2 linked regions of the Ovis aries genome follow. The protein of the gene in region 1 interacts with the protein of each later gene in a biochemical or structural test. Links are inferred from orthologs where the notes say so. Each region holds a gene or a part of one and is shown in the gene's direction. Other genes may lie near its edges.

The links.
Region 2: the proteins of NFKB2 (region 1) and BCL3 form a complex in vitro, tested with the Homo sapiens proteins (2 studies listed by BioGRID). The link is inferred for Ovis aries from reciprocal best matches to the Homo sapiens genes NFKB2 and BCL3.

What each region holds. Positions count from the first base shown.
Region 1 is NC_056075.1:22,795,740-22,798,486, forward strand, and holds the end of NFKB2 (nuclear factor NF-kappa-B p100 subunit), read left to right. Parts: coding exon 1-211; intron 212-364; coding exon 365-534; intron 535-649; coding exon 650-752; intron 753-880; coding exon 881-1,032; intron 1,033-1,162; coding exon 1,163-1,232; intron 1,233-1,467; coding exon 1,468-1,640; intron 1,641-1,753; coding exon 1,754-1,865; intron 1,866-1,963; coding exon 1,964-2,088; 3' UTR 2,089-2,247; downstream 2,248-2,747. UniProt on the Homo sapiens protein: NF-kappa-B is a pleiotropic transcription factor present in almost all cell types and is the endpoint of a series of signal transduction events that are initiated by a vast array of stimuli related to many biological processes such as inflammation, immunity, differentiation, cell growth, tumorigenesis and apoptosis.
Region 2 is NC_056067.1:52,307,989-52,312,278, forward strand, and holds the start of BCL3 (B-cell lymphoma 3 protein), read left to right. Parts: upstream 1-1,490; 5' UTR 1,491-1,736; coding exon 1,737-1,992; intron 1,993-3,322; exon of another isoform or gene 3,323-3,396; intron 3,397-3,641; coding exon 3,642-3,795; intron 3,796-4,290. UniProt on the Homo sapiens protein: Contributes to the regulation of transcriptional activation of NF-kappa-B target genes. In the cytoplasm, inhibits the nuclear translocation of the NF-kappa-B p50 subunit.

The sequences.
Region 1 (2,747 bases):
CCCCTGCACCTGGCAGTGATCACAGGGCAGACGAAGGTGGTGAGCTTCCTGCTGCAGGTGGGCGCAGACCCAGCACTGCTGGATCGGCATGGAGACTCAGCAGTGCACCTGGCACTCCGGGCAGGTGCCAGCGCCCCCGACATGCTGTGCACCCTGCTGCGGAGTGGGGTTCCTGCCATGCCCCAACTGCTGCATGTGCCCGACTTCGAAGGTGAGTTCATCACCTCATCTGAACCAGCGGGCAAGAGTGGGCACCAGGGAGAGGATCTGGGGAGCGCCTACAGTGGATGTGAGGTGTGGAGGTCAGCTGGTCAAGGGCTCACATTAGGGGCAGAGCTGCGGGCTGAATACCCTGTATCACTAGGGCTATACCCAGTCCACCTGGCAGTCCGTGCCCGAAGCCCCGAGTGCCTCGATCTGCTGGTGGAGAATGGGGCTGAAGTGGAGGCTGCAGAGCGTCAGGGGGGCCGGACAGCCCTGCATCTAGCCACAGAGATGGAGGAGCTGGGGTTGGTCACCCATCTCGTTACCAAGGTGGGACTGAGGACTGTGGAAGACGTAGAGCCAAGGGCTGGGGACGGTGAAGGTGTCGGGGGAGGCCCAGTGGATCAGTCAGTGCTATGATCAACCCCTCCCTCGCACCCCACAGCTCCGGGCCAACGTGAATGCCCGAACCTTTGCGGGAAACACACCCCTACATCTGGCAGCTGGACTGGGATCCCCAACCCTCACCCGCCTCCTTCTGAAGGCTGGTCAGTCCCACCCTCGGGGGCTTATGAACAGGGCTGACGGGGGAAAGGGGGTACCTCCCAATCCCGCACTTTGCAGTCCTTAACGTGGGCTCCGAGGGAGCCTCCCTGTGACTATCTCCCTCCCCCAGGTGCTGACGTCCACGCAGAGAACGAGGAGCCCCTGTGCCCACTGCCTTCGCCTCCCACCTCTGGTAGTGACTCAGATTCTGAGAGCCCTGAGAGGGACACTCGAGGCAGCTTCCGGGGCCACACACCTCTTGACCTCACTCGCAGTAGCAAGGTGAGGCCAGCCCAGGACTAGCAGTACCAGGGGATGGGGCATCCGGGCTTGTACATGGGGTCCTGAGTAGCTGGTACCTGGGGTCAAGTACTGTGATGGGAGGTAGTCATGGCTGAAGCTGTCTCCCTAGGTGAAGACCTTGCTGCTAAACGCTGCTCAGGACACCATGGCGCCGCCGCTGACCCCGCCCAGCCCTGCAGGTGAAGAGCTCTCCCCCACCACTGCCAGACCCTTGACCCCTGCTCACAGCGGTCTCTTATCCTTCGGGACCACTGAAGGAGGTCTCCCTTTCTCCATCCCCATCCTCCATCCACTGCCCCAGTGGCCCCGCCTGCACTATCTATCAGGTTGCCTTGAGATAAAGGTGACATTTGGGTGTCTTGTCTTTGCCATCTCTGGGGGTAACTAACATGTTTATGTGTGTGTCCCCTTCAGGGCCAGAGATACCCCTTGAAGATACAGTCCTACAGAACCTGGAGCATTTGCTTGACGGGCCAGGAGCCCAGGGCAGCTGGGCGGAGCTGGCAGAACGGCTGGGGCTGCGCAGTCTGGTGGACACGTATCGAAGGACAGCCTCGCCCAGTGGCAGCCTCCTGCGCAGTTACCAGGTCAGTCAGGCCCCGGCCCATGCTCCATGCCCCAGTCTCAGATCTCTGGCGCTTCCTCAGGGATCCCACACCCTAACCACAACTCCTGGTTCATGCCTCCTCCTTCTCCTCAGCTGGCTGGTGGCGACTTGGCAGGCCTGCTGAATGCCCTGTCTGACATGGGCCTGGAGGAGGGGGTGAGGCTGCTGAAGGGTCCAGAGACCCAGGAAAAGCTGCCCAGCACAGGTAAAGGGGCCGTAACTGAGAGGTGGATCTGGGCTTGGAGGGTGGGAGGCCTAAGGCCTGACGCTTCCCTGCACCCTTTCCCGCGTCCACTCCCCCAGCAGAGGTGAAGGAGGACAGTGCCTATGGGAGCCAGTCGGTGGAACAGGAAACAGAGAAGCTGGGCCCACCCCCTGAGCCGCCAGGAGGGCTCTGCCACGGGCGCCCCCAGCCTCAGGTGCACTGAACCGCTCCCTACCCACCAGCCCCTTCCGGGCCCCCTCTGTACAGTGACCCTGCCTGTTCCAGTTCTTATTTAACACCCCATGCCCACCCTTCAGTTGGGGCAAATAAAAGATTCTCATGGGAAAGGGAGGGGGCCTGGCCTCCTCCCCAACTTACAGCAGCCCCTGATGTGTGTGACGCTTGTCCTCGGGAAGCAAATGCCTACCCTGGCCTCAGGCCAGGCACGGGAGAGAGGAGGAGGCCCAGCCAGCAAGTCGAGAGCAGTTTTAATGGAGGTGGAGGTGACACAAAGGGCAGGGCCCACTGAAGGAGGGAAGCAAGGCTGCACTGCCTGGCCTGTGCACGGGGCCTCAGCTTGGACATCCATCCTCCTCCTCTGGCAAGGGAGAGGGTGAGCCCTCAGGGCAAAAGGAGGGAAACCAGCTCAACCCCAACTCCTGGCTTGTGTCTGAGCCAGGCCCCAGGATGGAGGGGGACTGCTGGTGTCAGGGGTGGGGGTGGTCTCAGCAGAAAGCAGAAACGTCAGGTCTCCCCCACAAAAAAAAAAAAAAAAAAAAAGGAGCATCAAGAGTCCAGGGGGCCTGGCCCCTCCCACCCCCATCCCCTGTACGAAAAAGTGCAAAACATTATCACAAAAAAGGGGTCTCAGAGGGGCCCTTA
Region 2 (4,290 bases), on another chromosome or scaffold:
GCGAAGTCCCTTCCTGAGAACCGGGGGCCTTACACCCATTTTCAGGGTCCCAGGATGGGGAGACTGAGATGCAGACAGAGATGGAGAGACAAGGCGACAAGGCGGGACTGGAGGCAGAGGGACGGAGACCAGGGAAGGAGATCCAGAGACCGGGGGAGACACACAAAACCAGGAAGACCCTGCGTGCCGCCTGGACAGACCCGGGGTGCAGCACGCATCCCCTCGCCCCTTTAGGTCCCCCAAGTCTTCCGCTCCACCTCCCGTAAGTCAGTGACCGGGACTCAACCCCAGCGACAGCCCCGCCTCCAGGGAAATCCGGGAAAGCCCCGAGCGGCTGGGCCCCTCCCCGGGGCGGGGAGAAGGGCGGCAAGGGCGGGGTCATGGGAGAGGCCCGCCTCCGTCCTTCCCTCCCCCTGGCCCCGCCGCCCCCAGCTCCAGCCTGCCTCTGAGTCATGCCCCCAACCAGCCTGGCCTGTTCCCCACCCACCAACCCCGCCCAGGATGGGAGGGGGACGCGGGGGCAGAAGGGAAGCCCGCCAGCCCCCTGTCTTCTGGACCCGGGCTTTGGCCGCTGTGACTCTGATCCTGTGACCCTACGGCTCTTGCTGTCTCCCCGTCTCCCTCTTACCTGGCCTCTCACGACCTCTGGACCCCTTTCGCCACATCTGTTTCTCTGTGTATCGAGGATTTCGGGGGCACCCACCCTGTGCCCGGAGGCTTAGGCTGGGTCATGGGACCCCGAGGGGAGAGACACGTTCACGGTTTCTCTGTGCTCACCCCACCGAACATTCCCCCCCTTCACGCCCCCAGCGAAGTTCACACCCCAAACTGAGCAGGCACATGGAGGAGGCAGAGACGGGGGCAGGGCAGGCAGAGGGATCGTGCCCGGGCGCCCGCCGAGGGTAGTCCCTGCCCTGGGTGCGTCTTCTCGCTCCCACAAAGGAGGAAACGACTCAGAGAAGGGAAGTGCCTGGTCAAGGTCACCCAGCGAGGAAGTGGGAGTCTGGAATCGAACCCACGTCCTGGCGACCCCAAGGGCCTCTGGGAACTGCCTCCCTGGGGAGGTGGGGTCAGGGGGAGAGGAAGAGGCTGAGAGCAGACAGCGCTCCTGGGACAGACACACGGAAAGGGATGCCCAGAGACGATGGAGACAGAGACAGTGAGAACAGAGAGAGACACAAGAGATAGAGAGACATCCATCCAGACCCTCGAGTCAGGGACAGTTCCAGACTGAGATACAGAGATAGAGACCTACAGCCAGAAAGAGACGTTCTCACACACACACACACACACACACACACACACACACACACACACACACACACACACGCGCGGGGACGCAGCCTGAGGCCCGCAGCCGCAGGGGTGGGGACCCCGCGACCCCGCCTCCTTCCCACCCCCTGCCCGCCCCCGCCCCCCGCCGAGGCCCAGCCGCCCCGGGCGCCGCGGGGCCGGGAGGGGGCGGGCGTGGGGCGCGGCGCGGGCGGGGCGATCGGCGGGCGGCACCGCGGGACGGCGGGAGCGGCGGCGGGTCCAGGAAACCCCTGGGGCGGACGGGTGGCCCCGGGGGGGCCGGGGGCGGGGAGGCGGGCGGCCGGCACCGCCCGGGCCGACAAAAGTCCCTTCAGTTCAGCCGGCGGCAGGGGAAGTCCCGGCGCTCGGCGCAACCACCCTCCCGTGCCGCCGAGCCCAGCCGCGCTCCGGCCGCCCGCTCGGCCGCCGTCTCCGGCGGCCCCATGCCCCGATGCCCCGCGGGGACCATGGACGAGGGGCCCGTGGACCTGCGCACCCGGCCCAAGGCCACTGGACCCCCGGGCGCCGCGCTGCCGCTCCGCAAGCGCCCTCTGCGCGCGCCGTCCCCGGAGCCCGCCGCCCCGCGCGGCGCTGCGGGCCCCGTCGTCCCCCCGGATCCCCTCCGCGGTGGCTCCGACACACCAGCTGTGCCCGCGCCCCCTCACGGCCTGGCGCGACCAGAGGCAATTTACTACCAGGGTGAGTGGCTTCCGCAGGTCATGGCCGGGTGGGGGGCAGGCAGTGCAGAGGGTCACCACCCGAGTCAGGCGGCAGAGCTCCGACCTTAACACAGGGGGGCCTCGGGAGCCGAGGGACAAAAGCCAAGGTCCCAAGGACACAGAGAGGGGGTTCCTGGGGAGTTGCGGGCAGAGCCTGAGGTCCCAGGGGTGCAGATATGGGAGCTTCAGAGCGCCAGCACCTTGGGACACCAGAGCTCTAGGAAGCTGGGTGTCCGAAGTCCTGAGATCTGAGATGCACCTTAGGGAACCAGGAGACAGAGCCTAGCAGTCCAGATATTGGGTCTCAGGGAGTCAAGTCCCAGGACCACAGAATTATAAACTCTTAAGAACCCAGATAAATAGGGTTATAAGGAATCAGCGGCTGGACCCAAGAAGCTGGGGGTTTGGGGATCCTTGAACTTTATGTAGGGTCAAAGGGAGTGAGGGGAACAGAGGCTGGGGTTCTAAGAAGACATATCTCCATTTGTCAAAATCTCAGGAACCCAGATGTCGGGAAAAGATGGGAACAGAGTGAGAGTACTGAGCACCCCAATATCTGGGATCACAAAAACCCAAGGAAACCCATCCCAATACCAGGGGTCCTAAGAGTCAGCAGGACAGAGACCTGGGGTTCCAAGCACCCACTTCTGTGTGCTTGCAAGTGATCAGTGTCTCACTGGTGTCATGATGTCAGGAGGCCTTAGGGGGGATTTGGGGACTGAGGATTCTAAGAACTGGGGGGCAGGAGTGGGGAGTTCTGGGCCTAAAGGATATAGGGCCAGGGAGGATTTGGGGGTCTCTGGGCAGAAGCCCTGAGGGCACCAAGGCCTGGCATTGAACATGCAAGGACCAGGAAATGGGATTTCAGGAATGGAGCCCCCAAGGACCATGAGATGACAGAGAACAGGCACTAGTCTTTCCATCCTGTCTCCGTCCCTGATATCCAGGAGGGGGCAGCCTCTCCCACAGCTGTGCCTGCGTCACAATCTCCGTGTGGCCCCCAGAGCTGCAGAGACCCCAGGCCTTGGGCCTCCAGAACTTTGCTCGGTTTCTGCACCTTTCATCCCCTCAGGATACAGCTTCAAGCCCTCCATCAGGAGGCCTGTCACTGCTTTCTCCCCTTTCCCATTCCCCAATGAAAACCTGAGCCTCAGTTTTCCCCACCTGAGTGATGGGTAGATGTAGATTTGCCAGCTACCTCAGTGCCTTCCAGCAGTTTGATCTATGCCGGATTCTGGCACTATGCACTCTCCCCAAACTCTGTACACATTCATTCCACCCCCTCCACCTGGTGCTTCATCCACCCTTACCTTCCTCAGCCACAGATTCACTCAGCAAACTGGTCCTGAGGTCCCCATGCTGGGTGATAGTGCAGAATCTTTGCCTAGTAGAAGATGAGGGGTCAGACAGAAATAAAGATAAGTGACAATATCCAAGGCTGGGGAGGGGAGCTGCAGGAGCGCAGAGGAGGGCCGTGGTAGAGGAGTTTGTCTTGGGCCTTGAGGGCTCAGGAGGAGATGCAGAAGGAACCAGGGGAAAAGGGCAGGCGACACAGAGTGAAGGCCTGGAGCTGGGGGGCAGGCTGATGATCTGTGGGTTTGGCCTCATGCATGTCCTTTCTCTTACCAGGACCTTTACTGTCCCTGTACCCCACCCCGACCATGGGTTCCCCCTTTCCTCTGCTGAACTTGCCTACACCTCTGTACCCCATGGTGTGCTCCATGGAACACCCCCTGTCAGCTGACATCGCCATGGCCACGCGAGCTGATGAGGATGGAGATACGTGAGTGACAGTCCCCCATTCATGGAAGGGAATAGAAGGGTGGGGAGGCCAACCCTCCTCCCACCTCACCCACCCACTGCAACACAGGGGCACTCAGCACTAGCTTTCAAGTTACCTGCACTGAGTTAGAATCCTGTCTCCCCGTCTATGCAACTTTGAGGAAGCCCCTTTCCCTTTCTGAGCCTCAGTTTCCTCTTTTGAAAAATGGGCACCCTGAGAACCCTTACCTCCCAGGACTGTTTTTGAAGCAGTGGGCTTTAAAGTTTTTACCAAAAGCCAAAAATGAGAAAGACATTTTACAGATTGACTTATTATATGAATTAGACATGTTAAGCTCCTTGCACAGAGCCTTGTAGTGCTCAATCTGTATTAATTAATGTTATTATTATCATTATTACCTTTTGCTAAGCACACACACATATATAAACTTGAAATAAAAATTGCACAGAACAAAACAGCACTCATGCTTACAACATGGGAGCTACTTTGGGGTTT